4 linked regions of the Rhinolophus ferrumequinum genome follow. The protein of the gene in region 4 interacts with the protein of the main gene of each other region in a pairwise test. Links are inferred from orthologs where the notes say so. Each region holds a gene or a part of one and is shown on either strand. Other genes may lie near its edges.

What was found.
Region 1: the proteins of TRIM39 (region 4) and UBTD2 interact in a two-hybrid assay, tested with the Homo sapiens proteins (2 studies listed by BioGRID and IntAct). The link is inferred for Rhinolophus ferrumequinum from reciprocal best matches to the Homo sapiens genes TRIM39 and UBTD2.
Region 2: the proteins of TRIM39 (region 4) and WDFY3 interact in binary tests that used the Homo sapiens proteins (3 or more experiments, as listed by UniProt). The two-hybrid records come from large-scale screens. The link is inferred for Rhinolophus ferrumequinum from reciprocal best matches to the Homo sapiens genes TRIM39 and WDFY3.
Region 3: the proteins of TRIM39 (region 4) and POLI interact in binary tests that used the Homo sapiens proteins (3 or more experiments, as listed by UniProt). The two-hybrid records come from large-scale screens. The link is inferred for Rhinolophus ferrumequinum from reciprocal best matches to the Homo sapiens genes TRIM39 and POLI.

Annotation. Positions count from the first base shown.
Region 1 is NC_046307.1:38,257,336-38,265,258, forward strand, and holds the start of UBTD2 (ubiquitin domain-containing protein 2), read right to left. Parts: upstream 3,007-7,923; 5' UTR 2,867-3,006; coding exon 2,797-2,866; exon of another isoform or gene 2,793-2,796; intron 1-2,792.
Region 2 is NC_046288.1:39,505,553-39,513,200, forward strand, and holds the start of WDFY3 (WD repeat and FYVE domain-containing protein 3), read right to left. Parts: upstream 3,012-7,648; 5' UTR 2,560-3,011; intron 1-2,559. UniProt on the Homo sapiens protein: Required for selective macroautophagy (aggrephagy). Acts as an adapter protein by linking specific proteins destined for degradation to the core autophagic machinery members, such as the ATG5-ATG12-ATG16L E3-like ligase, SQSTM1 and LC3.
Region 3 is NC_046302.1:44,050,955-44,058,458, reverse strand, and holds the start of POLI (DNA polymerase iota), read right to left. Parts: upstream 3,018-7,504; 5' UTR 2,893-3,017; coding exon 2,814-2,892; intron 1,510-2,813; exon of another isoform or gene 1,425-1,509; coding exon 1,302-1,424; intron 1-1,301. UniProt on the Homo sapiens protein: Error-prone DNA polymerase specifically involved in DNA repair. Plays an important role in translesion synthesis, where the normal high-fidelity DNA polymerases cannot proceed and DNA synthesis stalls. Favors Hoogsteen base-pairing in the active site.
Region 4 is NC_046286.1:1,119,269-1,126,985, reverse strand, and holds the start of TRIM39 (E3 ubiquitin-protein ligase TRIM39), read right to left. Parts: upstream 3,016-7,717; 5' UTR 2,296-3,015; exon of another isoform or gene 2,192-2,295; 5' UTR 2,110-2,191; exon of another isoform or gene 2,002-2,109; intron 1-2,001. Other genes in the region: developmental pluripotency-associated protein 2-like, read right to left, coding at 5,839-6,708.

The sequences.
Region 1 (7,923 bases), on a different chromosome or scaffold from region 4:
AGAAGTGAACAAAATAAGAACTCTTCGGCTGTGTTCAATTAATTTCACTTTATTATTTTAACCCACATATTTGTTATTTTAAAAAATCTTAAGAGATTTAATTCCTTAGCAAATGGCATGGGCCAAAAGCCCGTCTAGAGGTCCTAAGTGCCAATCCAAGCATCACAATAATAAGGCAGAGAACCACACAGAATATGCTATGTAAAAATGTCAAAACAACTGGAAACCCTAGGAGCACGGAAACTTGGAGAGAACTGTTGAATAATCTACTTCTATAATACACTTGTCTTGATTAAAATTAAGCATTAAAAAATGGTCAAAGTAGCTGAAACTCAAAAACTGAATCCTAGGCAAGGTATGACAGGAAGATGACTACAAATGATTCCAAAACAACAGGTAACACAAACCTTATAACATGAATTAAGTCATTTTCACATTTTACAGTCTTTTGCAGAAATTTCCCAAATCCCTTCAAAGAAGTAATCCACCTAATAAGGAAGTTTTTCTCAATATACACACAAGTATTTGCCATTCTAAAATAGTGATGCTTGCACAACATTGTGAATGAAATTAAATCTGTCATGAAAATCTTAAATCTGTCATGAAAAGCATCAGAAGGCTGTATTTTACTCCATGTTGATAAAAGAATTTTTCATAACTCAGTATGTCCAGATTAAAACTACTAACCACTATTATGTTCGAAATGCAAAGGATCTGTGTCAACACCCTTAAGAAAAAATCTTTCCCTTCCCAACAAAAACCTAATGTAATAAGCAAGAACTATTTAACATGTTCTTGAAACACTCACCTGAGCTAATTCCTTTGAACCACGATTAACTTTAAACTATCATGACAATAATGAAGAATAAAGGATTCCATAATTAAATTCCAGAAACAATCCTTTTATTCCACATTGCTCCTTCCTCCACCCCAGTGACATGAGGACCATGCCTTCTCTCCAGAAGAAAATAAAGAGGTTTGGTGGTTGATGTTCCTTTTTCCTAAACTTTAATTTTAAAAGATATAGCACAGCTTAAGGTCCAGAGGACTCAGCTCTCAAAGAAACTGATACTATAGCTATCTAACTAGATACCACTGGTAACAAATTACCAAAGGCTAAGACTTTATGCTTTTAAAAGCCCATGCTAATAATGCCTGGCTGGTCATAAGTCACACTACCAAATGGCTTAAATAAATTGGCTCAAGTTCATTACCAAGAAAAGAAAAAATGTTTATTAGAATTTTTAAATGCGTCTGAAAAAATAATAATCAAAACTAACCATCACCTATTACAAGCACTAATATACTTGTGTACTATTAATGCTCACCTCAATGTCAGGAAGAATCATTGTGACCCCCAATTTGACCTTGACTCAAGTGTTTTAAATCATGCCCCTTTTATCTTCTTGCTCTGTTGTCACTGAGGATCTCACTGTCACTGTCCCAGCAAGTAATAATGCTGACTTGAAATGCACTATAAAGTAGCATTTCCATGGACAATTTTTCCAAGAACTACTTCACTGAGCTTTCAAACCATTTGCCCAGAATCTAGTCATACAAGATACCCATAGATTTTAATGAAGTGGCAAGGTTAAACATCCTGTAATTCAGAAAATTCATCAGCCAAAAGTTAGAGGTACATGGTTTATTGATGGAGCTTAAGCGACAGGGCAAGCAACAACTAACTAAATGTTAGTATGTTAAGAAAAAGTGGTAAACTTTTTTGTAAACCCTTTTATCGCCAAATGATTTAGTTTAGGAACTTATAAATCTGCTCCACATTTTCAGACATCTGACATAAGGTTGCAACCAAACCAACACTGTCATCTTCACTATTCCTAAAACTTTTTTCTTCTTTAACTAAAATTCTAACCTGCACACAAGCTACAGAATGGACTCAGCAAAAGGTCATTTTAGTAAAGCTAGAATTACTATTATTATGCTGGTAGACTACAACTCCGACTGAATTAAAATACCTTTCCTCAGCAAACTGCTATTTACAAGACAACGACGTGCGTTCCGTGTTAAAAAACTTTTCAAGTCCTGAGCCTAATGGGAAGTCAGACTCTTATGCATTTGCGCTTGTATCCTACGTGTTTTCTTTTACGTAAGACAGATAGGAATTTGACTAGCCCACCCCGACAGCAAGCTGGCCCAACACCCTCCTGCTGCAGCGCGAAGCCACATTTTACTCGGGCAGACCGCTTCCCCACCCCTCGTTAAAATAATGCCTGTGGCCACTTGAGACTTCCCCAACTAAGCTCCAGAAACTTGCAGGTTTAAATGGCCAAATTGGAACCAACCAGGGCAGCTGTCATCTGAAACTCAGGAAAGCTGAGACCAGCCAACTCTGCTGAACAAGGAAGGGTGCCGAGAGATGTGGCGGGGCCCGTCGGAGGGAATGCATGAGGCTCCCCTCCCCAACCCCCCAGCAATTCGCTTTTCTGCAGCCCCAGCGCCGCCATCCTGTTCCTGAATAATTAAACGCGCTGGAGACGGAGTGAGGTGGCCAAAGAGGCAGTTTCGGGTCCGAGTTTCCCGAGCCGAGGCGGTGGGGTCAGGAGGCCGAGGGCTACATCCCCGGCGCGCGGAGGACTTTTCTCCGGGGCCGGGGAAAGATGGGGGCGACCCCGCGGCCGGCCGAGTGGCCGGAAGCGGGGCGCGGGGAGTGACGTGGAGGAGGGGATGACAAAGGGGCGCTGGGGGCCCGGCCGCGCTCCCCGCGAGCCCGGGACAGGTGGCCGGGCCTGGACGGGAACAATGGGGGGCCGAGGCTGCCCCCTGGTGCTCACCTACCTCCGGTGCCCTCCGAGTTCTCGTTGAGGCTTCCCGAGGAGTCGTGCTGGGCGCCCACACACCCGCCCATGGGGGCCCCTGGCGCCTCGTCCGCCACCTCCGGGCGCTCGTCCGGGCCCGCCGCCGCCTCAGCCTCCTCAGGCGCCGCCGAGCTCCGGACAGGCGCGCCGCTCCGCTCGCCCGCCGCGGCCCAGCCTCCGCCCCCCTCGCCGCTCCACCCACCGTCTTGGCTCGGCCCCTTCCTCCGCGCCCACTTCTACCTCAGCCCCCTGGCCGCCCGCCCCGCAGGCCTGGCCCGCGCGCCGCCCTCGCCTCCGGCTCGGCCTCGCCAGGCCGGGGCTGGCCCATCCCGGGCGCGCCGAAGCGCCCGCCTCGCCCCTCACAGCCCTGCACACCCGCGTCCCGGCGAGGCCCGCGCCCGCGCCGCCCGTCCTCCAGGCCCCATCGGCCGCCGCCCCGCGGCGCCGCCCTCCGCACCCGCGGCCTGGGCTCGGTCGGGCCCGCCCGGAACCGCCGGGGGGGCGGAGCCGTGGGAGGCAGCTCGCTGATTGGCTGCGGGAGAGGCCGCGAGCGGAGGAGGGAGGGGAAAGAGGAAAGGAGGGGAAGTGAGGGTATCTCTCAACCCGAGGAAAAGAGACGAAGGCGGGGATCGGTCTGGGGGAAGAGGCAGGAGAAGGAAGCAAGGAAGAGGAAGAGGGGAAGACGCGAAAGAAGAAAGGTTAGGAAGGAGAGAGAGCAGGAAAGGAAGCACAAAAGTGAGAAAGAAGTGGAAAAGGGCACAATCTAGTTTCTTGCCTCCCCTCGGACGTCAGCTCTTTTTCGGGTGGGAGGGGGCACGGAGAAGTAGTAATGGAAGACTCGCTGGCGGGGACCGGGGCGGGTTCCCGAGTAACCGGCGGAAGGGGTCCTGGCTGAAGGCTGAGGTCCCAGCACCTTTTGGGTTTGTGTCGAGTTCAGTGGATTGGTACCCCGAATCTGGCCTTCCCATTGCCTGCCCCGCCCCTATTCCCCCTAAAATCACTGTGCCCCATTATTAGATAGAGAGGCAGTCATTGTGGTTGCAAGCTGAACTCGGATTACAGAGGCGAGGCATCCCGTGTAGGGAGAGATAAAAGCTGACCGTAGTTCAAGGGGTATGGGTTCGTTTCATTTTCAGAAGATTGATTATTCATACACAATGCTACTTCCCCTCTCTTTAGGTATCTTAAATCGTCTTTAGAACAACGTGAAGCATAAATAAATAAAATACCCTGCTTTTTCTAAACTAGAATTTGGTACATTGACCACACCCAGCATTCTTGGCGACTGCTATCCCAATCTAAGCCAAATTGTTAATAGTCCCTTCAGGATTGTGCTTCTTGCTATGATGCCTTAAAATTTTTATCATCCTGCTTGGACCTTTCTCAAGCTTATTTCTGCCTAAGAGCTGTTTTAACTATCTGCTCCATTTTTATATTAGACTTTTTTTAACATCCTGGGTCACTTTTTGCTTAGCCTTAAAAAAATTTTTTTTTAAGTGAAATACCTAAGGAAGAGACTCTCTGCAGTTTGGAATTTGCATTTAAATATATTTTCATACACTGCTGGTGGGAGTGTAAATTGGTTCAATCTTTTTTGCAAAGCAATTTGGCAAGGAGGTTCAAGAGCCTTTAAAAATGTTAACCCACTTTGACTTGGGATTGTTTCACATGTGGGAATCTAGTTCACAGCAATAGTCCAAAATGCAGAGATTCCTGTCCTTGCATTCATTTGATAATCAGATAAAAATGAAGGCTCAACAAACAAACAAAACCCTATACTTATATTTAAGCACAGAAATGCCTTGTGAGAAACAAGTCTGCTCTATTAGATGTATCCTGATGAATCAGTGTTGTCCCAGGTAATCATGAACCAACATACAAAGGAGCTTTGAACATTTATATGGACATTTCTGAGTTTGCAGAGGTTGCTCTGAGATTCAGGCCCTATGCACAGAGCCTTCTATCTGATCATTCTCAGCTGAGTATTCACGTAGGCAGACACATCTCTTCCCTGAAGGAGAGAAGCTGCATGCTAAGTATCTTCAAAGGGATTGCTTTGTCCTGAATTTTGCTCTAGAAATTGCTGAAAGCAAGGCTTCCACATGTCTATTAAACAGATGGTAGGCATCCAAGTGATGAGTGCTTTCTGATGAGCACTGTGGAGTTGGCACTAGGAAAAGAGCAATCTCACTGAGAGATTCTCAGCTATGGATGTTCTCCACCCTGCCTTTATCTTAGACCAGGGACACAAGTTTCTGGGAGACTGAGTAATGTGGCAGTTAAGGGCCCCAGCTCTGCTATCAACTTCCTAGGTTGGAATCTGAATTCCATCCTGTTCTGGCTATAGGACCTTAAATTTCTGTATAGCTCAGTTTCTCACCTGTAAAACTGGGCCATAACAATGCTCCAAACTCTGGTGGGGGAGGGTCTGTTAAATTTCCTCTATACATCTAGCTTCATGGGTCTAAACTTCCTGCATGGCCTAATCCACTTAAGACCTTCTGTAGAAACTGCATTCTTTGTGTATGGGTGCACGCATGCGTGTGCTTTTCTATTTTTTATATCTTTATTGAGATATACTTCATATGCCACATAGTTCACCAACTTAAAGCGTACAATTCAATTGTTTTTGGTATATTCACAATCAATTTCAGAACATTTTTATCACTCCAAAAAGAAACCCAGGCCTATTAACAGTCATACCCCATTTCCTTCCCAACTCTCAGCCCCAGCTCTAATCTATAATCTATCTTTTGTCTCTATAGAGCTGCCTCTTCTGGATATTTTATTTAAATAGAATCCTATGTCGTCTTTTGTGGACTGACTTCTTTCACATCGTATAATGTTTTCAAGGTTCATCCATGTTATAGTACGTATCAGTCCTTCACTCCTTTTTATCGCTGAATAATATTCCATCATGTGGCTAAACCACATTTTGGTTATCCATTTATCAGTTGATGGGCATTTAGGTTGTTTCCACTTTTTGGCTGTTATGAATAAAGCTGTTATGAACATTCATATACAAGGTTTTGTGTGGATGTATGTTTTCGATATATACCTAGGAGTGGAACTGCTTGGTCATAGGGTTACTCTGTTTAACTTTCTAAGGAATTGGCACACTGTTTTTTCAAAATGGCTGCACTATTTTACATTCCCACCAACAATTTACAAGGGAATATAAAATAGTGCAGCCGTTTTGAATATGTAGAGTATCTCATTGTGGTTTTGACTAGCATTTCCCTAATGACTAATAATGCTGAATGTCTTTTCATGTGCCTATTGCCCAGACTGACATCTGTTTCTGGAAAAATGTCTACTTAGATCCTTTACCCATTTTTAAATAGGATTATTTTTCTTTTTATATTGAGTTGTAAAGGTTCTTAATATACTCTTAGTACAAGTCCCTTAGCAGATACATGATTTGCAAATATTTTTTCCCAGCATTATGGCTTGTCTTTTCTTTTTTTTTAACTTTTTAAATTTAAGAGTGTTTTTCCAGGACCCATCAGCTCCAAGTCAAGTAGTTGTTTCCATCTAGTTGTGGAGGGCGCAGCTCACAGTGGCCCATGCAGGGATCGAAACGGCAACCTTGTTGTTAAGAGCACCGGGCTCTAACCAACTGAGCTAACCAGCCGCCCCTTTTAACTTTCTTGATAGTGCCCTTTGAAGCATGAACGTTTTTAATTTTGATAAAGTCCATATACCTATTCCTTTATTTGGTTGCTTGTGCTCTGGAGCTCGTATCTATGAAACCATTGTCTAATCCAAAGTCATGAGGATGTATCCCTGTTTTCCTCTAAAAGTTTCATAGTTTTAGCTCTGACTTTTAGGTCTTTAATCTACTTCGACTTATTTTTTGTATATGGTGTGAGGTAGGGGTCCAACTTCATTCTTTTTCAAATGTGAATTTCCAGTATCCCAGCATTTGTTGAAAAGACTGTTCTTTTCCCCCATTGAATTGTCTTGGCACCCTCGCTGAAAATCAATTAGCCATAAATGTTAGATTTTTATTTCTGGACTCACAATTCTGTTCCATTGATCTTTACGTCTATCGTTATGCCAGTACCACGCTGTCGATTTCTGTAGGTTTATAGTAAGTTTTGAAGTCAGGAAGTTCTTTTTTCCAAGATTATTTTGGCTATCGGGGTCCCTTACATTTCCATATGAATTTTATCAGCTTGGCCATTTCTGGAGGAAAAAAGAAACAGCTGGAATTTTTTTTTTTTATCATTTCATCCATTTGAAACAGCTGGAATTTTGATGGGAAAAATGTTAAGTCATCTGTAGATTAATTTGGTAAATATTGCCATCTTAACAATATCAAACCTTCTAATTCAGGAATATGGATGTCTTTCCACTTGTTTATGTTTCAAATTCCTTTCAATGGTTTTTTGTAGTTTTCAGTGTACAAGACTTGTACTTCTTTTAAATTTATTCCTAAGTGTTTCATTTTTTTGCATGCTATTATAAACAGCAAATTTGCTATTTATAACTAGATTTGTTTCTTAATTTCTTTTTCAGATTGTTCATTACAAGTGTATAGAAATAAATGGAGTTTTGTATATTGATCAGGTATCATGTAACCTTGATAAACTCACTTATTAGCTCCAATAGTTTTTGCTTCATGTATTTTGGGGCTTTGTTGTTAGTTGTTATATGTTTGTTATTTCTTCAGGGCCTTCTTCACTTAGCTAATTATCCAGGGAGAATTAGCAAGGGAGAAGGATGAAGGAGAAGTAATAAGAAGGAGGGAAAAAGAGAAGGGAGAATGAAGTCCAGTGGCTGTCAATCTCTAGTATGGATGTCAGTCACTTGGGGAGCTTGTTAAACTCCCAGAGATTCTGATTCAGTAGGTCTGGGGTGGAGTCCAGCAACCAGCATTTTTAACTCACACATCAGGCATTTCCTGGTGCAGTTTGGGCCACAGATGGAATTTCAAAGAACACAAGTCCTTGACAAAACTCAATTCTCCCCATTCCTTGCCAAACTATTTTTACCTTAGTCTCTTTCATCCTCCACAAATGGCACCATAGTCCATCCAGTTGCTCAAGCCCCAAACTTAAGAGTTGTTGGTAATTTCTCCATCTTCTTCACCTCTCAAACCCAT
Region 2 (7,648 bases), on a different chromosome or scaffold from region 4:
TTGAGGGGAATAAATGGCAATGTGTCTTTGACTGTAATAATTTTTTTAATTTAAACATTCACCATATTGTTTGATCACACCTCATAGCCTTCCTTGTTGTCAGGAGTGCTGGCTCTGGCACTAGACTGTCTGAGTTCAAATGTTGCCCCACCAGTGGCTGTCTGATTTTGAACAAGTGCCTCTAAAAGATCTATTTCCTCATCTGTAAAATGGGATTAACATTTTCCTAAGGTTTCAATAAGAACGCATGAAAAAGGATTTCTATGGGCAAATTCTCAACAACAAACATTTCTTAGATATAACTGGAAGTAAAGGATATGAATTATCAAACCTAATTCTCTAAGAATTTTAACTTTCCAAATATAGAGGATTTATACTTTAATTATATACCTACTAATTCATCTTTTGTGGAGACATCTTTTTGAGAATGTGATAACTCCAAGGACTCTTCACCCAGAGAAAAACGAGTATACAGGCATACCTAGTTTTATTGTACTTCATTTTATTGTGCTTCACAGATGTTTATTTTTGTTTTTTGTTTTTTACAAATTGAAGGCATGACCCTCCACCAGCAAAAAGATTCCTGCTGGCTTTACTGCTGTGGTCTGGAACCAAACCCACAATATCGCCAAGGTATGCCTCCATTTGTTATATTATGCATATATTTCTGAGGTTTCAAGGACCTTCTGAAACATATGCATGAAATTAAGAATGCTTGATATAAACTCTTAAAATTGCAAAGTTGAGCAGTGGATTTAAGAATTTTCAAAGCAGAGAATCCAACTATTGAATTATATACACTGTCATTTACTTTTTTAAAACAGATTTTGCAAGTACTGTGTTTCCCCGAAAATAAGACCTAGCCGGACAATCAGGTCTAATGCGTCTTTTGGAGCAAAAATTAATATAAGCGATATTATATTATATTATAACCAGTCTTACGTTATAGTAAAAAAAGACACAGTCTTATTTTACTATAAAGTCTTTAGTAAAATAAGACTGGGTATTATAGTAAAATAAGACTGGGTCTTATAGTAACTTTTGCTCCAAAAGACGCATTAGAGCTGATTGTCCAGCTAGGTCTTATTTTCGGAGAAACACCGTAAGACCAGACATCGTGTTTTCTAATTTCTATCTCCTTTACGCAGAAAATTTAAATTAGAAACCTAAATTTTTTTCATGCATCGATTTCAACTCAGAAAAACTGGTAGAAACCTGTATTTCTAGCAGTTTAAGAATGAATGACTCAAAGTATAACATGCAATACCCCTGCTCAACAACTATGGGAAAAGTTCTCAAGTCAGTCTAATGAAATATGTACTTTTAAATATAAAAAACATACCAAGCTAATTAATTCCTATGCTTAGAGTCTCATAATAAAGTTTTATTTTTTTTTACAGCTGGATCTATGCACTAATATTACATCGTTGTTTTTTTTTAACTAATCAATATATTTTTTATTCTGTTTTATGTTATGTTTGTTATATAGCCTGATGGTGGAAACTAATTGTTTTCAACCTGCTATCGAATAATTCCAACCTGGAAATATATTGCTATCTCAAAGCAAAGGTTTTGTTTTTCTTTTTTAATTGTTTGGTTTCATACTATAATAGTTGACTAACCAACTCATACCCATTACGGAAAAAATAGTTTTTCGTATGCATTAGCACGATATTCCCACAGGAAATAACCATTTTTAAAGTACTGGAAGTCGAGATAAGGGTTCACATACATAGTAAACATCCTTTCAATCAGGTTTTATCAGATTATTTCAGTGAAAGGGAGACCTAATACTGCAGACCTCCGAATTCAATGGTAAAAATCAATGAAACGAAACGCAGCATCTGAGGATCAAACACTGCCCAGGTTGCCAAATGACTGTTGGTCAGAAAGGTCACATCTGCTTTTAAAACCTCACCGTAATCGTGAATGTTTGCGATGCCTCCGCATCCCGGTACAAGAAAATAAGAGGGCAAACACACAACACAGGAGCATCTCTGGTTCCTTCCATGAACGAAGGGCTTCCAGCACAGGGCGTGGGGGAGGGGGGAACGGGTTCGAGAATAAGCCAGGAGAGGCCCGCAGCCCTGGAGACAGCGCCCGAGGGTTGGAGGCCCCACTCGGCAGCGCCCCGGCGTTGGGGGCTCCAGTAGCGGAGACCCCGTTGGGGGGACCCGGGCCAGACCCCCATTCCTGGACCGCCAGGTTACGCCCCCACTGCTTACTAGAGGTAATGTTCAGCCCTCTGCTCCCTCATCCCCCGAAATACCCCAGCATCGCTCCCAACCGCCAGCCGCTGGTGACCCCGACCCCGACCCGACCGCGATGGCGCCCTCTCCAGGTCGCAGTGGAGGACACACACCAGGCCACCAGCTCTGATGGCAGCGGCGACAGCGACTCGGGGCAGCGCGGTCCCGGGGGACGACGGCAGCTGGGCCGCGGCCTGTCCCCAGGGGCAGCGGGCGCAGGGCCGCCAGCGGGCAGCGCCTCCGCCCCGCACGAACAAAGCGGCCCAGGCGCGCGGGGCGCGGGTGGGGGGAGGCAGCAGGGGGCACTCACCGGGGGCCGGGCGGGAGCAGGCGGGCCTGGCCCCCAGTGGGGACCGCGGCGGACCGGGGCTCCGCACCGGGGGCGCGCTGGCGACCGAGAGGGGGCGACGGGAGCAGCGTCCGCAGCGGGGCCCGGGAGCCCCGCTGCGGGGGACGGGGCCGCGGGCCGGGCTTGATTCGGCGGCCGCGAGGTGCAGGAACCGGTCTGCCGGGGCGGGCAGCGGCGTTAGGCGGCCGGGGCAGCGACGCCGCCGCCTTTCCCTTCTCCTGCCTGGGTCCCTGTTCCCCCGCTTCCTCCTCCTCGCCGGGTCCCCGCCGCCGCCTCAGCCTCGGCGCTTCTCCGGCTTCTCCTCTCCATCAAGGCCGGGCCGACCCGCAGGGACCATCCCGGAAAGTGAGGGGTTGTTGCCGTTCCCCGCAGCTGTTGGTGGCCATCTTTAATCCTCCTCCTCCTCCTCCTCCTCGTCCTCCTCCTCCTCCTCCTCCTTTCTCCACCTCCCGCCGGCTGCCTGACTGACTGACTCTGGATCCTCCTCTTTCCCTTCCTGCTCCTCCTACTGAGCCGGCCGCAGAAATTGCAGCCGCTCTTCCTCTCCCCTCCTGCCTTTCCTTCCTCTTTCCTTACTTCCTTCCCTCCCCTCTGCTTCCCTCTTTCTCACTCTTACTGGCAGGATTCGCCCCCTTTTGCAGGCAGCGGGTGCTGAATCCTCTAAGCTTGAGTGTGGCCCACATTTTCACTCCTGTCCCTCGCCTCCCCATCCGGACGCACACACCCGGCTTCCTTCCCCTCGCCTTACACTCAGCCGCTCGAGTTTCCCTCTCCCAACCCCCTGCTCCTCTCCCGCGGTCCTCACCCTCTTGAGTTCCAATTTTCCCTCAGCCTCAGCTGAGAAAGGACAACGGGGTTCCGCTCTCCTTACCCTTACACCCATTTGCTGGATGCTGTCAGACTGCGATGGAAGAACGGGAGACTGTGTTAATTTCACTCTAGCTGGAGTACAAAAGGACTGCCCACGCTAGCTATTTTACTATGCAGCTTTGAAACTCCTGGATGGTGTCGTGTTGGCTCCGGTGCATCATTGGACCCAGGAGTTAAATAGCCCAGTCTCAAATGTTGCCTTCCCTCGGTGACCTTGAGCCGGTCGCCTTAAGATTTTAGGGGTTTTCTTTCTTTCTTTTGTAAAGGGCATTATTCATACCTTTGCCGTTCTAACAAACACAGTGTTTAGACTAAACGAGCATGCTTTAGTAAAACTAGAACCGCCAAGTGATCATCAGTTTGTCCCTATGTTGTTTGTTCCTAATCAATCCAGTGGACAATTTGGGGCAGGCTTCAGTTCTGGGAATGGAGGCAAATTGAGTCAGCAGTTATTGAGTGGACTCCCTTAAACAGGCTTAGAGTGGGGAAGTGGTAATATCGTTCTTATGACAAACTTGTTTTTCCTAACACTGCAATCTACCCAAGCTGGTGAATTTCCTCTAATAAAGATGAAGCAAGCTGGACTTGCTGTTTGCTTCTCTTCAGCCACTCTGCCTTTGGCCAATTGGAACCGTTTGTAAGGATTCACTTACTGATCACTACGATATTGGGCACTGCTAACAAATATAGGCGATATTAGATGTGAGCGCTTTGTGAAGTGGGGGGCGTCACAGTTTCTGCATCTTTGGGACAGTGGCTATCATAAAAAAGCACCTTGCTCTTTCAGAATAAGATGACTTGATGTGTTCAGAGGTTATTTCCTTCCACAAGCCAAGTATGAGGAGAAATGTTTTAAAATGTAGTTTTGGATTCCACTCCCAAGTGAATTTTTAAGTTTAAATATAAAATTCTGTTATTACAAAAATGTCTTTCAAAACTCTTTGAAAAGATGCCAAAACAAACCTAAAAATATAACTTAATAAAAAATACTAGTATGCTTTGCGGGGCTGGGAGGTGGGGTTCTAATCTTTTTCTTTGATGCTTAGCCTGCACCCAGTTAGGTTCCAGATCTCAGTTGCCATCTTTAAATACCAGTAATTCTTCTATTTGAAATCAACAACCTGCATCAGCATCTAAACCCAAATAAAGTTTTTAACACAGCTTTATATAATATGTTTTGGAATAAATTATAAAAACAAAGCATGTATATGGTGTGGGAGTGTGTGTGTATGTGTGTCTGCATGTGTGTTTTCTTTTTGGCCTTTCGGTGTTTATTTAGATTTTGTGTTTCTCCAGTCTATTACTAGACAAAATTACTACAAACTTCTTAACTCATATTTCCTTATAAAACTATATATTTGCAGAAAAAATAAAAAAGATTGGATAACATGAATACAGAGAGAGTGAATAAATCAGTTGATGTCTTTTAAACACTGAGACCAGCATGCATTCTAAAAGGAGAGTTTTCAGTTCAATGTGAGGTTTTACGAATCTTATCATTGTGATTTTATTTATACTGAAGAAAGAGGAGTTCTACATTTTAAAATTCATGAATCCTTTAATTATAAATTTTTTGTAGAAAGAGATACGTTGCTATTAAGTTCATAGGTAGATCAATGTGCAAATTCAGCCACTTCTTGTTAATGTCTTACTAACTGAAAATCTCACAAAGATTTTTCAGTGATATATAAAAAAAATGTAGCAAGATTTTTCGATTTTACTGAAGCCATATAAACATAGACATGTAATAATGGATAGTATTCAGAGAAATCAGACCCTTTGCATTTACTTTTTAGCAGCTCTGTTTCAGATCTGTCATTATTATAGCCCTTACCTTTTTCAGTCTTTGTTGCCAGCTAAGTATAGTTTCTCTGTCATCTTAGGGTTCAGGTATAATAATAATAATAAAAAAGGTCAGATCAGGTTTTTCTGTAACATTATTATTTCATATATATTCATTCTCAGATAAACTCAAGGTCCTCCATCATAAAACAAAGAATTATATTAACGTGGATAAAGCCTTTGTGCAGAGGCCAGATGGAAAGGGACTGAGGCATGTGCAGCAAACTCCTCTGGGAATAGAGGAGCAAACATGAAGGGCTATTACTAAGCAGAGCCTGGTCCCCAACTTACACTTCATGAAAAAGGTGTTTGTGGAATAACAAGAGGATATCTGTGGTAATAAAATCCATATTTGTTTTTAACATAATTGAAAATTCTATGAACATAAATAAACAAAGCATAACATTAAATGAAGAAAGGTGGAGGTAAAACATTCATGAAAATATCAAAAAGTAAGAAGAAGAAAATAAAAAATAGAAAAAAGCAATTTTGGAAAATAGGGTAAATAAGTATTGACAATTTGCTGTTTAAACAATTATTTTCTTTGCATTTGCTTTTAAGACTAAAGAAGTAATTTAAACTTGGGCTGGTAGAATTATTCCAGAGATAAGCATAAGTAAATTATAGAATCTTAAAATATTTATTACCAGAATATGGTGTGCTAGATTATGCTGGAACACACACAAAAATGAATTGAAACTTGGGTTGACTACTATATTTAAAATACACATCCACTTTCCCAGGCTATTAGGTACAACAATAGAAATGCCATATTGTTTTTCCTTGTTTGAAAGAGCCAGATGGAAAATAAACTGGGCAAGCAAATGAAAGTCTCTGGGGATCATGGGAATTGAATGACTATAAAAACCATATTCCAGGCAAGAATATAGTCTTAGGTAAATGTTCAGTTTTATTCTCAGAATCTGTTCTTTTAGAAAAGACAATATTTTTCTCAACGTCTTCCTCTTTGGATGGACTGACTAAAATATCAAGTGAATAATGACAAGCCATAGTTATCTGCCCTGTTTGAAATTTAGTATCATTTTTCACTCCTCAATTTAGAGAACTCCTTATAATTAACTGATGAGCTGTCCTCAACACAGTGCCATTTAGAGTCATTACTGCACTCTAATTGAGGAGAAATGCTTTTAGAAAGTTCCAATTAGAGACTTTTTTTGTCCTTACATTCAAAAAAGGTACTGAAGCATTTGCTTTGTTTTTTTTTGTGGTGGGGGGGAAGGAGGTTGTAGATTGGTTATTATTTTGTGTTTTTATTTAAGTAAATAATACGATAAAGCTTCTTTAAATTTTGAAGAGTAACATGAAGACATGAGACAACTGAATAGTAAGTTTTGCTTTTGCTCATCACAATGATCGTAATTATAATAGAAACAGGGTTTTTTGAACACTTTATTATTAATGAATTATATTTCTACTTAAAATTTGAAGGCCTTCTTGATTTTCAATTCCTTCATATTTCTTTATGGAGAGTTCAGACTTTTAAAACCAGTATCTTGAGAATGTTCTAGATTTATTCCACTCATCCTAAAATTTTGGCAAAAAAAAAAAATTCAAATGGCTTATGGTCACTTAGTGTATATTGTGTGGCACTCTGAATAAAACCCAGATCTCCTGACCCTCAAGTTCGAAAACTTCAGAGATGAAAGGATTAATCTTACAGATGGGAAACTGACGCCTAATAAAACTTTGACCACATTAGTTTAAATATAATTTAAATTTGATTTTCAGAAGTACTGTTCAACATTGACTTTGCTCAGAAATAAAGCTATAAAACAAAGTAAAAGCAACTGAGTTTTCCTGTTTTTTACAAAAATGAGAACAATTGTTTTCAGTAAAAAGAAAATTGGAAAAAAAAGTCCAAATTGACTTCAAAAAGTATGATTTTTTTTTATATATTATTCATGGGTCAAAAAGGGTAAAGTTAACTCTCAAAAATACTGTATTATTTAATATTGTGAATCTAAATTACAAGAGCCTAAGGACTCAGGATTCTGTAGAAAACTCTATTAGATAAATGAAGTAAAACATTGCCATCTGCTGGCCAGAGTGAAAAAAGTAGTTGATCTTTGATACACCTGTAAGATAAAGGAGTTCAAGAAACCACTATTAATTTATTCCACATATCTTTTAATAGAGCTAAAACGTACTATATTGGGTATGTAAAATTAATCAGTCCATTATACAGAAATTTTGGATTATAGTCCATACTAGCATGTAGTTGTTGTTAGTATTATTTAAAAGCTGGCCAACAGTTAAATCTGATCATGTCAGTAATGTAGCCGTATTTGGCTAAAACCACTTTTAGTTTTATGGCTGA
Region 3 (7,504 bases), on a different chromosome or scaffold from region 4:
AACTATTTACAAAATCAGATTGTTAACTCCCTTAACCAAAAAAAGTTTTTTAATTGCAGAACTAAATTATATGGACTCACACTAATATGTCACCAGCCCAAGTTAAGCAGTCATGTATTTGAGTATAAACGAAAAACTATTTTGCTTTCTCCTAGAAACTTTCAACATCACATCCCTCACTTCCCCAAATCATTCATTCCTGTCTTCACTACACAGTATCTTTTTATTAAGCATTATCTACAGAGCATCATGTGTTACAGGGCAACTAACTGAAATGCTTTTAGGAGAAAATTTAGGTCCCCTAATCCTAATTCCTTGACACACTTAGGAAAGTTTAAAGATCCTAAACTGACCTTAGCATACCAAAATTTGGTTCTTTAGTAAATCAACTGAACTAGGTTGAATTAGGATTTATCAAAACCAAACTAGGCATAAGGGTAGCAGCAGGTGAACCAAAATTGCTCTTTAAATCCTTACTACACAAGTAAAATAAACTTTTGGAACTTTAGTTTTTCAATTTATGATATAATAAAGTTAAAACAAGGCAACATTACTAAAAGTAAATTATCAGTGTAGAATTTGCTTTTTATTTATACTTGTGTTTTTATGGAAAGCTTGCTCTATATCCCTGAATACTTAGGGTTCTGTTCAAAATCCAACTATTTTGTCACAAATCAAGAGTTAATTTCAAAAAGGGGAGGATAGATCCGTGCTCCTAACTCCAAAGGCTGCCGGTTCGATTCCCACATGGGCCAGTGGGCTCTCAATCACAAGGTTGCCGGTTCAACTCCTCAAGTCCCGCAAGGGATGGTGGGCTGCACCCCTTGCAACTAGCAACAGCAACTGGACCTGGAGCTGAGCTGCGCCCTCCACAGCTAAGACTGAAAGGACAACTTGACTTGGAAAAAAGTCCTGGAAGTACACACTGTTCCCCAATAAAAAATCTTAAAAAAAAAAAGGGGGGGGGGAGGATAGACGAAATCTTCTATTAAAATGTAACAAAAGAGGTTGTTTCTGAGATAAAAGGAATGTAAAATTTCAAACACTGAGAAAAAGACTAAAAGTTTATTATGGTCTTTCTGTTCATCTATTCATTTGTCTATATTGTGTCAAATTCACTACTTATTAAATGAAGTTTATAAAGTTTACACCTGGTAATGAAGCAAAGATTTTGTTTATAAAGCACCTTAAGAACTGCTTCAAAAATCTTTCTTAATAAATAAATCAGAACACAATAAACATTAATAAATGAGTAGCTAATCCTATTAAACAATGAACATATTGTCAAAGTCCATAATTACCTAAAGGTTTGCCCTTTAGTTCCGGATTTGAGATCATTTCTACTTGTGCGTAAAAGCAATCCAGATCCATGTGTATTATAACCCTGGATGAAGAACTTCCTGCTGGCACCACTTGATCATGAACTGATGCACAATATGCAAAGAAATACAAACATATTCAAGCTGCTTATCATCTCTGAGCAACTGGTTGTTCCTTAAAACACGGTAACTGAGAAAAAGAGTGCAAAGTGATTTTAAAAGTTTTTTCCTGGATTTATTGTATCTGTCAAAGCATCTTAAAATTACAGACATGAGAGCAACTCCATCTACAGCAGGGTCTTCAGTCCTGTTTACTTAGCATTTCTTTGTGAACGGTGTTTTTCTCAAGATAGTAATAAACTTGATGGAAAGAAATCTTGATCAGCAATGGAAGATACAATGGGTAATCCTACTACTTGGAAGTTTAGAGTAAAATGTAGAGTAAATTGCAAGAAGCAGAAAAATGTGAACGCTGATTTCAACCAACTTTAAAATTATTCTAAGTGGCATATCCTTAAATTTCAAAAATTCATAAATACAAAACTGCACAAAGCAGGATTATATTCAGCTCCCATATGAAAGCAGGATTATCTGGTTCAGTGCTGAATCCCTGTAACAGTGCCTGGCATATAATAGACTATCAATAGATACTCACTAAATTTAAAGAATGAGTAAATATTTTTTGGATTGAAAAATAGACCATGTCATGGGGAATTGGGTGGGAGAGGATAAAACAGACGAGATTTCAGCCCTTAAAACCAGTTTAAAAACAAGGTAGGTTACATGCAGTGATGTTCTGGTCTGGATCCTGGAACAGAAACATTTATAGTGGGGAAAAAATGGTAAAATGTGAAGAAAGCTTGTACTTAATTCTTAATATTATGCCAAGGTTAATGTCTTAGTTTTGACAAATGCACCATGCTGACGTATGATATTAACGTTAGGGAAAACTATCTCTGCAACTTCTGTAAATCTAAAACTTTAATCCAAAATTTAAAAGTTTAAAAGAAAAAAAAAAAGGGCAGGGAAGGTGAGCGCTGGCCCCGGGCCCTGGATGGCGATACAAGCAAGGTAGAGCCCAGAGGCTGGAAGCGGGTCACCAGAGAGAAGGCCACTGCAGAGATGCCTTGCCCTCGGTTCCGTGCCGAGCCAGTCCTTGTAGCCCAGGCTAAGGCCAGGCCCCGAACTCTTAACAAGTGGACGAGGTTCTCTACTTCTGCAATCAATAACCGCTCGGGGGCCTCTTTGGCTTTCAGTAAACTGATTGAGGGATTACTAATGCACCTTCGACTGCCAAAGTGACGCGCCCACCCTGCTCCCACTAGGCGCAGCCATCCCTCTCGGGGTCTTTAGCCACAAAATAACAGGCAGCGAAGGGCAGCCCTCTGGGCTGAGCCCGGAAAACGAAAGGAACCCTGCGAGGCGGGGACGGTCGCACCCCAACGGCCGCCGCCACCGCCCCGGGCGTTCGCCCGCCCCGCCCTCCTCATTTACACCAAGGGAGGCGGCCAGGCTCCTCAGGCACCGGCGCACCCCACGAGCCGACTGCCGCCCCCGCCTCCTCCCGCTCCATGGCGCGAGCTGCGTCCTCTTCCTCGTCGCGGAAGCCTTCCTCCGCTAGCTCCACCCCCAGCTTCTCCCGCTGCGGCCTACCGCAGCGCAGCTTCCGGCCGCTTCCGCCCGGTCTCCAGGGAAACCGTGGGCCGACCGACCCCAGCCGCTCGGGTTTGCATGATCCCGGCCCGGCGGCCGACTAGCCAATTGCCCGGAGGTAAGCGAGGGCTGGGAATCGCCTGGATGCACGTGCGGAGGTTTCCTCTCGCCCAGTCGAGGCCGGAAGTGATGGATTGTCATCCCAAACAGATGGTTTGTTTGTTTTTTTTAGGCCTTGGGAGTTTGTCCCACAACACATATTTTCATTCTTTATCTTTACTCCGTTCTCGCGATCAACTGTTAGGAAAATCGCTAACCCTTTAGACACCAAACGATTTATGGTGATGGGGGTGGGGGAAAGGGTGAAAATTATGGTAAGAGCAAGGTGGCCATGTAAACTAACATGATTAGCAAGTATGTTAAAGTTTATTGCATTCAGTTCGTTGTTTGATTCAAAGAGACTGTGACAAATTGGACCCCTGGATTTGTAATCTCCTAAACCGAATAGGATTTTAATACATGAGCTTTGGAGTTAGATCAAATCGCCAATCCAGACCCACCTACTTGCTAACTGTGTGACTTTGGGCAGGCTACATAACTACTCTGAGCCTCAGTTTTCCCACTGTAAAAAAAAATAAAAAATGTCCTGAGATTAAGTGAATGAATACATGAAAACTAGCATATACTTTGAATATTCCAATGTATATAGCACACCTGGCACTTAAAAGATGCTCAATAAATGTTAAGTCTCTGCCTTCTGTTAAGATGCCTTGGGTGCCTTCTGTGTTTCAAGAGAGGAAATTTCTCTCTCTCTCTCTCTCTCTCTCTCCTCCCATATATACATATATGCAAAAACATACTTTGTTTTTTTACAGATTCTGCTCTTATATTAATAAATACGGATGTGAGAACCTTGAAAAAAACCTGTAAAGGACACGTTGATACATCCAGAAAGGAGAAGAATAACAGGAGAACCAGAGCTCAGTGGTTTGGAGACCAAATCTTCCTCTTTGGATACTTTACTCTTAGACATCTGGACCAATTCCCTAAAAGTCTCCAGTTTGGGATCAAAGACACTGATTTAGAGCTATGCTGCTTTCTTTGTGAATGCTATTTGATAAGTCTAGATAAAGAGCTTTTGAATTAAGTGCTTCATTGGCCACTAAGTGCCTCTTGGGCTATCAAGGGTCCAATTACTCGTAGAAAACTAATGGGTTTTTCCCCCAGGTTTTTTTTTTTTTTTTATTTCAACATGTTGAGAATGATACAAACCATGGAAATGCCATGGCAGATTAAAACTGCTTCCTTATGAGAGCCATAGGCTCACTACACTCAACAGCTTGAGTAAAAGTGAGCCAGCATTGAAAAGCAACACACATAATAAAGCCCTCTTTAGTTATTTCATTTATTTCCCTGTCAACTGTCAAATTAAAGAGTGGCTTTTAATTTGGTAGAAGAATAGACAAGTGGAACCTTGAAAACCTTAGGGGAGGAAGCAGAGCTGGCTTTTTTAGTGTGCCACCTATGCAGCAACACAGAGCCCTATGCTTGGTTTGATGATCTGTTATTGTCATCTTGAAATTCTTATTTGAACGAGGGAGCCTGCATTCCCATTTTGCACTGGACCTCACAAATTATTTAGCCAGTGCTGGGAACAAAAAGGAGAAGTGGCATAGAAAATGATACTTATGAAACACTTGTATGTCAGGCACAGGGCTAAGAGCTTAAAACAGATGGTCTCATTCAATATACCCTAAAGCAGGAGTGTCCAAACTGCGGCCCACAATCCATTTTTTATTGGCCCGCAGCAAATTCCAAAAATATATTTAGTTTATTTAAGTAAACCAGGTGAGGCAATACGTACTTCACCTCGAGTGAGTGGCCTGGCTGTTTGTGTATTTTACAGTAAATGGCTCTTGGTGAAAAACGTTGAAAAAAGTTTGGACACCCCTGCTTTAAAGGGTAGGTATCATCATTCTCATTTTCCCAAAGATGAAACAGGCCAGCAGAGACTAAGGTGCTTACTTAAGATTATGAATCTAGTAATGGTAGATCCACTTTTCAGAGTTTTCCATAGAAAAGAATTTATTAATAATGTTTCTTCCACAGAGGAAATCATTCCTTCTGCCCATTTACCTTGGTGCTTCAAACACCAAGACAACGTGGTGCCTGGAGAATAAACATCCCTTGAATATATTAGGAGGCATAAAAATAAAACTCATATGTGTTATTTTGTTGTGAGATAAATTAGGGAAGGCAGGGTTTTTTTGTTTCTTGATTTTTTTTTTTTAATTCTATAACCTTCCCTCAGTTTTAATTAATAGGTTTTAATCAAAGATAATTTCAGGAAATACATGTTTTGAGGGTAGATCATAATTTTATATTTAAGTGCAAAAACAATTGCAAGGCAGAATAAACATATTCAATGAAATAAAATTGTGCTTGAAACAATATTCACAGAAGAGCATGGGGTTGCAGAGAGTGTGGCTAGTGCATAAAGAAACTCAGGGCATTTTAGAGCTTCCAAGGTCAAGACTGTATGAACTTGCATATATTAAAGCATGAACACCCATGTCAGTGAAGGGTGGGGAAGTTATCAGTGCCTGCTTCTCTCCTCCTATCCAAATTGGCCACATACGGACATGAAGAGTGTGAGGGTATCCATGACTGTCTGTATTTCATATTGGTGAGTGGCTATGTACTTAGAGGTTGACCATAGGGTCAAAGGAACAATTTGAATTGGCAAAGGCACAAAGAGCTTGATTTTGTAAGGTCTTTGGCCTCAGGCAGTGGTTCTCAATTGGCGGACAGTTTTGTCCCCTGGGAGGTATTTGGCAATATCTTGAAGACACTTTTGGGGTTGCATCAGGGAATTGGAGCTCTGCACTGTCAGGATCTAGTGGGTAGAAGCCAGAGATATTGTTGAACATCCTACAGTGCACAGCCCTTCACAGTAAAGAACTATCCACCTCAAAGTGTCATTTGGGCCAAAATGGGGGTACTTTGGTCTAGTAGTGTTTATACCATCCTGCTCCCAACTCCCTCCTCAGCTTAAGGTCCCCAGTTATAATAAAGAAGTGGTCTTCAAATGTGTACTTTTAATTATAAATGATATTTTTTTAGAGAAAGGAGGATATAAGAGAGGGAGGCAAGTGTCATTTAGTTGCTTTTCACTGTGGGAATCTACATTGTGAGGCTAAAAAGCAAATGAATGTATTTGCTAGGAAAGAGATTTAAGAAAAATATGCACACTTTTATGGAGCTTGTGAGTTGCCCCTAGGGTATAAAGCTAGTGAGTCAGAAATAATTTACAAGGCTCAGACGCTAAAATCAGAAAACAGAAAGTCTTCAGATGGTTAAAAGCAAACTATAATTATGATAGACTGTTATACAATATACCTGTCATGCAATATTTAATAACTTTCACCCAAAGATCTCAACCCCTTTGCATAAAAACTTAAATTGTCATAAAGAATCTCTCTCTCTCTCTCTCTCTCTCTCTCTCTCTCTCTCTCTCCTCTCGCTCTCGCTCTCGCTCTCTCTCTCACGCACACACTTTCAAGCTTTCTCAGTGTAACCTAAAAATATTTGCTGCATACCATGTGACTGTGGCTAAGAGAAGGTATAAGAAGCTGGAGTTTTTCTAACAGTCAGCTTCTCTTTGCTTTGACCTTTTTCTGTGGTTCTGTAGTTCTAATGAAAAGCCTGCATCGTCACTTTAATAATGACATTTAAAATGTTGCTTGTCAGGGTGTATTGGGTGGACTTTGTCTCATCATTTTGGATAGAGAGAGGTGGGAACCGATGTGATCACAATACAAATCATTTGATCCCGGTTTATAAATAAAGTATGCAAACTTTAGTCATTGAGAAAAAGAGAACTACTTGATGTCATATAGAAAGTGCAAGCAGATTAACTTAGGTCAGGTACACTGTGTTAAATTTATAGACACCTAACTTTAATGTAACAATTAGACCTTTTTCTGATTGCCCAAGTAATTTGTGATTATTATGAAGAATTTGGAAAATATGAAAAGGAGGTGTGAAGAAATGGAAATAATCATAATAATCCATAATCCTGGTGCTCAGAGATAACCACACTTTAATAGCCTTTTCATAAAGCACAATTTTAAAAGAAAGTTTTTGTTTTATTTCACAAATTGCTGTATCTATTTCTTTATCAAACCACAAAGACCATTGTGAGATGCATTGCCTGAATAAATAACGTAGAAAAAACTTTATACACAATTGTTTTTGTTGTTAATTTGAAGGAAATGAATAAATACAGTCTTGACATCATCTTGGAAATGTTAGTAATTTCAATTTAATCAATAATCTCCATTTTCCTGGTTTGAATTAATATAAAGTCTCTATAAAGGAAAATTATATTTATAGGATTTATTTCTTAAATCTGATTCAAAGACTTCATTAAAGTACTTATTAATCCTAAAATTACTGCTAGTGACTCGGATAAAACAAATTCTTTTTTTCTCATCCATTGTTTAAGACATTTTAAGAAGACGTGAAAGTAT
Region 4 (7,717 bases):
TTACCCCCATGTAAAATCCTAACTCCACATTTAGCCCCATTTTGGTATTTCACATCTTCTCTTGCACCAGATTCAACCTCTCTTTTGTTTCTCCATTTTCAAAACTTTTGACTCCCAGCTATCGATCTAATTTTTTTTCATCTTCAGCAAACTGACACACAACTGCCAATCTCTTCTGTTTTTCACCTCTGCTTTCTCTTGTTAGAAATGGAGGCTTCTTTCAACTCTAGCTCAGTATACTTCTCCTGATCCAGGCTCATACCACTTCTATCTTAAAACCAATAATGCCAGACCAATTTATCCCTAGTGTGACATATTTTTCTAATAGATGAGAAAGGAGTTTGCGAAAGTGCAAAATGCCATTAAAGTCAAAGTATTAAGATCTCTTAAATTAGGTATATTTTAAAGTTTAATGTTACAGAAGAGTTTTATTACAATAGTCCATTGGAGCCCAAGCTTGATTCTCTGCCACTATTCTCTCTCTCTTTCAAACAGTAATAAATGGAATTAGTTAGGCAAGGCTAACAACCTTCTTTTCAGGAAAGATTGAAATTCTTCTTCCTTTTATCAGACTAGTGTAGAGGAAGTGTGCCCTCCTCTTGGAATGAAATGATTCACACAACATCCTATTCTATTTGTGTGCAATTGTACATTTGGAACTTCCGAAAAGTGATAAACTCATGGCAACTATACTAAAGAGTGTGTTACTGAGTCCAGGCTGAGAACTTCTTGAAAAGAGGGATGAAAAAATCTATTTTAAATATCCTGCAGGGACTGGAGTCTTATGAAATAGCTATCGATAACTAATTCCTTGGACATACTGTGCCTCCAACTATAGGTTTTGGAGTGGTTGGGAATGAAAAGTAAAGAAGGCAATCAAAATCTCCAAGTGAAGCCTCAAAAGAGTTGGAAATGCATAAAGCATTTATAAAAGCAGAAGACTGGTCCCCTACTCCATCCTTAAAATGTCACCATTTTAATCTATGAAATGGTTGGTTTCTCTATCCCTATCACCCCACCTTCCACCCTCCCTCCCCTCCAAGGGTCCCAACAGAAGGAAAGAAATTTAGTATGTCTATGTGCTGAGAGAGGGTCTATGTGCCCCTATAATGAGTTGGGTTAACAATGATTATTCCTGTATATATTGATGGCACACGTGAAATGTGTTAACTTGGAGTAGTAACTAATTTGGACCTCAATTTCTTTCCTGAACCAGGAGACCATTCAGTTAGATGATTTTTCTCCACCTATGGAACTCCAACTGTGAGTAGTGATCCTGCCCTTACCCCAATATTCTAGGAATTAGGTGTCCTCCTCACCTGGGGTGAGTTGAATTGTACGCAGTTAGGGACCAGGAGGGATCTGACTGGCAAAGAAGTGGTGTGAAAGAAATGGGGAAAAGGTCAGGAGAGTATGGAGAGGGCTTGGAGCTACAGCCATAGTGAGGCCTCGGGCGCCTCTGGATTGGTCATTTCTTTCCCTCTGTTCCTCGTGTCTCTGTAGAAGGGCAAACTTCAGGGACGTCCTCATTTTGTTTCTACCACTGTCCGGGGTCCCACCTTGCGACCCTCTCCTGAGCGTGGTCCACAACTCGGTCCCACCCCCGGCTCCTTCTCCCGTCAGATCTGGCGCAGGGGTACTGGAGAGGAGGGAGAGGTTGGCAGGGAAGGAGGGATGAGTGTCCAGGTCGGGAGGAGTGTGACGTGAAGGTGGGATGCCCGCTGCTATGACGCAGCCGAGACCCGCGGCGACCGCGTCAGAGTTTCACCGGGGGAGGCGAGCGGCAGCGGGACGGGGAAACGGCGGGGTAGCCAAGCAACGCCGGACGCGCTGACGTCGCCGGGGCGGCAAAACGTCCGCCCGGGCCCGAGGCGGGAGGAGGCAGCGGTGGTTACGTGCGGGGGGCTGGTGACGCAGTCGCGGGGCGCTGGGACGCGGCGTGCGGAACCGGCCGGCGGGGCAGGCCCCGGGGCCCGGGCGCGGCGGCGGGACAGCACCTACCTTCCCGGCTTCGGGTCCGGTAGTGCGGGGCGCGGAGCCGCCGGAGCACTGCCTCCCTCTTTCCTCCTCCCCCCGCCCCCGCCCCGCAGCGCGACACACAATACTCGCCGGAAGCGGAAACGGCGCCGAGAGGCTCGTGTCAGTGGAAGCCGTGGTATCGGCGGGTGGCCGCGGGAGGGCCTGGCGGTGCCTGCGGAAGAAGGCGGGAGGCCGGTGGTGAGAATCTGCAGGAGGAGTCAAGGGCGAGAAGGGACCTGGAGGGGCAGGTGGCTGAAACGTTGTCGTCCAGGTGACCTGAGGAATCCGCTGGAGAGAGGGCCGCGCATGCGCGTGGCTGAGCTCTGAAGCCCATTGCCCGCAGGGCGCCGACGGGCGCGGGCAGGCGAGGCTCTCCGGGCCCGGCAGCGGCTCGGACTCTGGCTGGGCTCGGCTGACCCCGGGTGGCGCCGGGAGCCGACGGGGGCGGGGCGAGGGCGGGCGGCGGACTTTCAGTTACACTTATCCTCTGCAGGCCATTCCGGGGAGAAGGTGGCTAGGTGAGGCGCGGCCAGTTACGTGGTGGACCTGCGGGTCTCAGCAGGCACGTCACTTCCGACTAGTTTAGAGTTAGCCCTTTACGGTTCAGGGATTAAGTACATTCTCCCAGCCGTGGGCTTTAAGTGCTCCTCGCCCTACCTCTACTATGCGAGCTTTAAAGAAATGATCACCTCCCCCGCTGGACTGGGAGTCCCGATTGAGCTGGTACCGCGACTCTACTGCTCACCTTTGTATACTCAGCTCCTTGCTTGGGCCCGGCCGCGAGCGCGCCCGAAACGCCCGTTAACTATGTGCGAGCCCAGGCGCGCTCTTTCCTCTTTGGGGCTGTGACTTGAGTTTCTTCGCGAGAGCAGATGGTGCTTGTATGGAGACTACAGATTTTTGCAATATAGTCCCCTGTTTTCCTCTCCTGATGTTGGAAGCTTCGCAGCAGGTGGTTTTGCAGCGATGAAGCAGAGGAAGCCTCTGCTGAAAGAGGTGTGATGAGACTGGGGAGGAGCTAGCGATGAGTAGAGGGGTGATGGGGCAGGGGAAAAGTTGGGGCTGGGCAGGAGTAGGTGCTGGGTAAAGGTGTAAAGGGGGCGGGGAGGAGTTAGTCCAAGGTGGGTAGAGTAGGCAGCTTGCCCCGCCGGCTCTCCCCCGACGTTTGGCATGCAGAATGCTTACTGAAAGAGAGGAAGGAGCAAGTTTTGGTGTACCCCGCCGAGGGAAATGGCCAGTGACCCAACTTGTTCCTGTGTAAATTGTGATGTTATTTACACTGTGCAGCATTTAACCTCATCCTAGGAGCCAGAAACTATTTACTTGCAGAAAATATTAAAAAGTGCGCGTTATAAAGATTTTGATCACACATGTTAAGTACAATTAGTTTACTTTTTCTTTACTGGTTTCCTTTTTGTTCACTTTTCTTTTTAAGGTTGCCAATGATTGAAGAGGATTAAACTTGAGAAAATCACATTTATTAACTTTTCCCTCATTGCTATTTGGCCATTAGGGATTTTAGCAACAGTACTTGTTCTAGTTCACAAAACGTCTCAATTCTAAGGTAGGGTAATTTGAAAGCCACTAACTGGATAGTCAGCCTCTTTAGCTTTGTTTTGGAGAGAGAGTCATCAGTTGTAATGTTGATTTGTACCAAGGGATTTCCAACACAGGACCATGCAAAAATGAAGTATAATAATGAGATAACATTTTTAATGAGACGAAAAGTTAGAAATACACACTTTAATGTTTTTATATCAGGAAGGGAGAACAGAAGCAACTAGCTTAAAATTACTGAGTCATGTAGAAGAAATGGGTATATTAGCAGTACAGGTAGAAAACTGGTCAAAGTCACGTATGGTGGCTTGGGGATGAAGAGGGTTCAACTATCCAGACTTCTGAGACTCTTACCCAGAAAAACGCAAGGCATCGAATTTTCCCCCACCTTTTTTTTTCCACTTTTTAATTATGAAAAATTTCAAGAATAGACAATCTTCAGTTTGCTTTTTATACTTTATACTGACTATCTTCTATCTTTTTCAGTTACATAAAACTACCTCATTCTTTTTCAAGTCTGTGTTAGTCATTGTGTAGACATATAATTTATTCAGCCATTTTATTTTGAGTACACATTTAGGTTCTTCCCAAGTCTTATTAAATAAAAGCTGTAGTGAACATCCTTGCACATATATGTTTCCCCCCAGTTTTATTGAGATATAATTGACATACAACATTGTATTACTTTAAGGTGTGCAAGGTGATTTAATATATTTGCACATGTATCTTTAGATGGTCATACCATTTATTAGTAGGACAGATTCCTAGAAGTTGGGCTGTTGGGTCAAAAGGCATAAAAATTTAAAAGTCTAATAAGGTTGTATGTCCACACCAGCATATGATGAGATAGTCTGTTTCCCTACTATGGAGCCAGTGCTTACATTTTCAGGTGTAAAAAAAATTTAGTAATATTTTTCATTTAACTTTTTTTTTTTGAAAGTAATTGCGGTTTTTGCAATTATTTTAACCCTTTACACCGCAATTACTTTTTAAAAAGATCTTATTGGGGGACAGTGTGTTTTCCCAGGGCCCATCAGCTCCAAGTGGACGTCCCTCAACCTTGCTGTGGAAGGTACAGCCCACTGGCCCACGTGGGAATCGAACCGATTGCTGTTCAGAGCCCATGTTCCAACTAACTGAGCCACCCTGCTGCTCCGTCATTTAACATTTTTAATGATTGCATAACAGGTCTTGTTCTGCAGATACCATACATTTTTTTTTTGTTTTTTTTTTTTTTTGTTTATAGCAGCTTTATTCATAATTGCCAAAACTTGGAAGCAACCGAGATGGCTTTCAATATGTGAATGGATAAACAACTTATGGTACATCCAGACAATGGAGTATTCACTGCTAAAAAAAAAGGAAAAAAAGTGGGCTAAGGGATCAAATATATGGTGACGAAAAGAGAACTGACTGACACTGGGTGAACACACAAAGTGATATATAGATTATGTATTACAGAATTGTACACCTGAAACCTATGTAACTTTACCAACAATTGTCACCCCAATAAACTTTAATTTAAAACAAAACAAAAAAAAGTGAGCTATCGAGCCATGAAAAGATATGAAGGAATCCTAAATTTACTTTGCTCTGAAAGAAGTCAATGTGAAAAGGCAACTGTATGATTCCAACTGTATGACATTCTGGAAAAGGCAAAGCTATGGATACAGAAAATGTGTCAGGGGTTAAATAGGTGGAGCACATAATTTTTAGGGCAGTGAAGCTATTTTGTATGACACTATAATGGTGGATATGTCATTATACATTTCTCAAAACCCATAGAATGTAAAACATAAAGAGTGGACCCTAATGTAAACTATGGGCTTTCGGGGATAATGAAGTGTCAATGTACGTTCAATAAATGTACCCCTCTGGTGCAGGATGTCGACAGTAGGGAAAATGGGGGAGTGCAGGGAACAGAATTTGGGAACTCTAGTTTCTGCTCAATTTTTTCTGAAAATTTAAAACTGCTTAAAAAAATCTATTAATTAAAAGAAAACCAACTTATATTCTATATGTTATAGCTAAATACCTGAAGCAGCAGGGGCAGTCACTTTTTGGCAGACCTGAAGTACAGAATCCAGACATTCACATCTGTACTCCAGGCATCAGGCAACACTGAGGATGGCCAGGACAGGGCACAGCAATCACTGGGATACAAATCAATGTATCTGTGAGCTATCTATCCACCGTTTATTCTTTATTAAGACATGGCCAATCCAAAAGGAATGATATGATTGTGTTCAAACCAGGTTGCTTCTACTTCTTCATTGTAGTTAATCTTTCCATCATCCTCTTATTCCTCTTAACACAATCGGGGCATAACATATTATCTTCTAGGTCTGGGTATGGGAAAGTGCAGGCCGGCAACAGGAAGAGAGAGATCATCTTCTTGGGAGGGTCAGGCACCCACGCCTGACCTGCATAGAACTGCAGGTGAACCCAACCCTCTCTGTCTGCCAAGAGAGGTCTGCCGTGGACCACACACCACCTGACACCAGACGTTTGCAGCAGAAAGTTCTCAGCAGAAGCAGGAATGGGACATGAATTCATAGCCTTAGGTTGAACGGCTCTTGCAGCAAGTCTTGCCCATGCTGCCAACATGGCTTCCTGAGCTGAAGTTATCACTTCAACGCTGTTGGTCATTTGCTCTCTCTCACTCATCTTACAACTTTTCTTACTCCTTGCTTTCTTGGTCACCATCTTGCATTTCTTTGAACTTGACTCCTGTAGTATTTCAGGAATGTTTTGTTTTTCTTCAGAGTATGCATGTTCCTTGAGCCTCAGATAAACGTCTATTTTCTTGCCATCAGTACTCAAATTAAATTGTTGGCACCAGTTCCGCAAAGTGTCCCAACGCACTTTATTAATTGAAGGCAAAATGGTCGGCAAGGGGAGCATTGGTTTTGGACAAGCTTTGAACTGTTCACTCGTTTGAGGAAGATAAACTTCATCATCTGTCCTAGGAATCTTCAGGTTGTCTTCTGAGATTGAAGAAATGCTTGGTTCCATTTCACGTTCTTCATTAGTTTCCTCACTAACTGGAACCAATGTGAGAATCACACTTTCTTCCTCTAATTCAACCTTAAAGTAATCCTTTTCGCTGCTATCAAAATTTGAATTTGCCATTCCCAGGAACACTCAGAGAACAGCAAAGCCAGCACAGTTAAGGATACCTGCAGTTTACTCCTTTTCACCATACATTTTTCAGCACTTTCTCAGCAGGCGGGCATTTACTTAGGTTTTTTTCCCCTTTTTTTCCCTGCTGCATAAATGGTGTTACAATAAAGATTCTCTGAACATATGCCCTTATGTGTAGTGCATTTATTATTGTGAGAAGGGTTCCTGGGTAGAAACATTGTGGAGTTATAATCTTAATGGGTATTGCCATATTGGTTTTCTTTTGTTTTTATTTAAAGTTTATTGGGGTGACAATTGTTAGTAAAGTTACATAGATTTCAGGTGTACAGTTCTGTATTACATCATCTATAAATCCCATTGTGTGTTCACCACCCAGAGTCAGTTCTCCTTCCATCACCATATATTTGATCCCTTTTACCCTCATCTACCAACCTCCCCCAGCCCCCCTTACCCTCTGGTAACCACTAAACTATTGTCTGTCTATGAGTGTTTCTCATTTGTTTGTCTTGTTCTTTTGTTCTTTTTGGTTTATATACCACATATCAGTGAAATCATATGGTTCTCTGCTTTTTCTGTCTGACTTATTTCGCTCAGCATTAAAATCTCAAGATCCATCCATGTTGTCACAAATGGTCCTATTTCATCTTTTCTAACTGTCAAATAGTATTCCATTGTGTATGTATATCACAACTTCTTTATCCATTCATCTATCGAAGGACGTTTTGGTTGGTTCCATGTCTTGTTCACCATAAATAAAGCTGCAATAAAACATTGGAGCACACGTGTCTGTCTTCATGGATAAATGTTTTTGGATTTTTTGGGTAGATACTCAGGAGAGGGATTGCTGGGTCATATGGTAATTCTATTCATAATTTTTGGAGGAACCTCTGCACTGCCCTCCATAGCGGCTGCACCAGTCTGCATTCCCACCAACAGTGTATGAGGCTTCCTTTTTCTCCACAGCCTCTCCAACACTTGTTACTATTTGTCTTTTTGA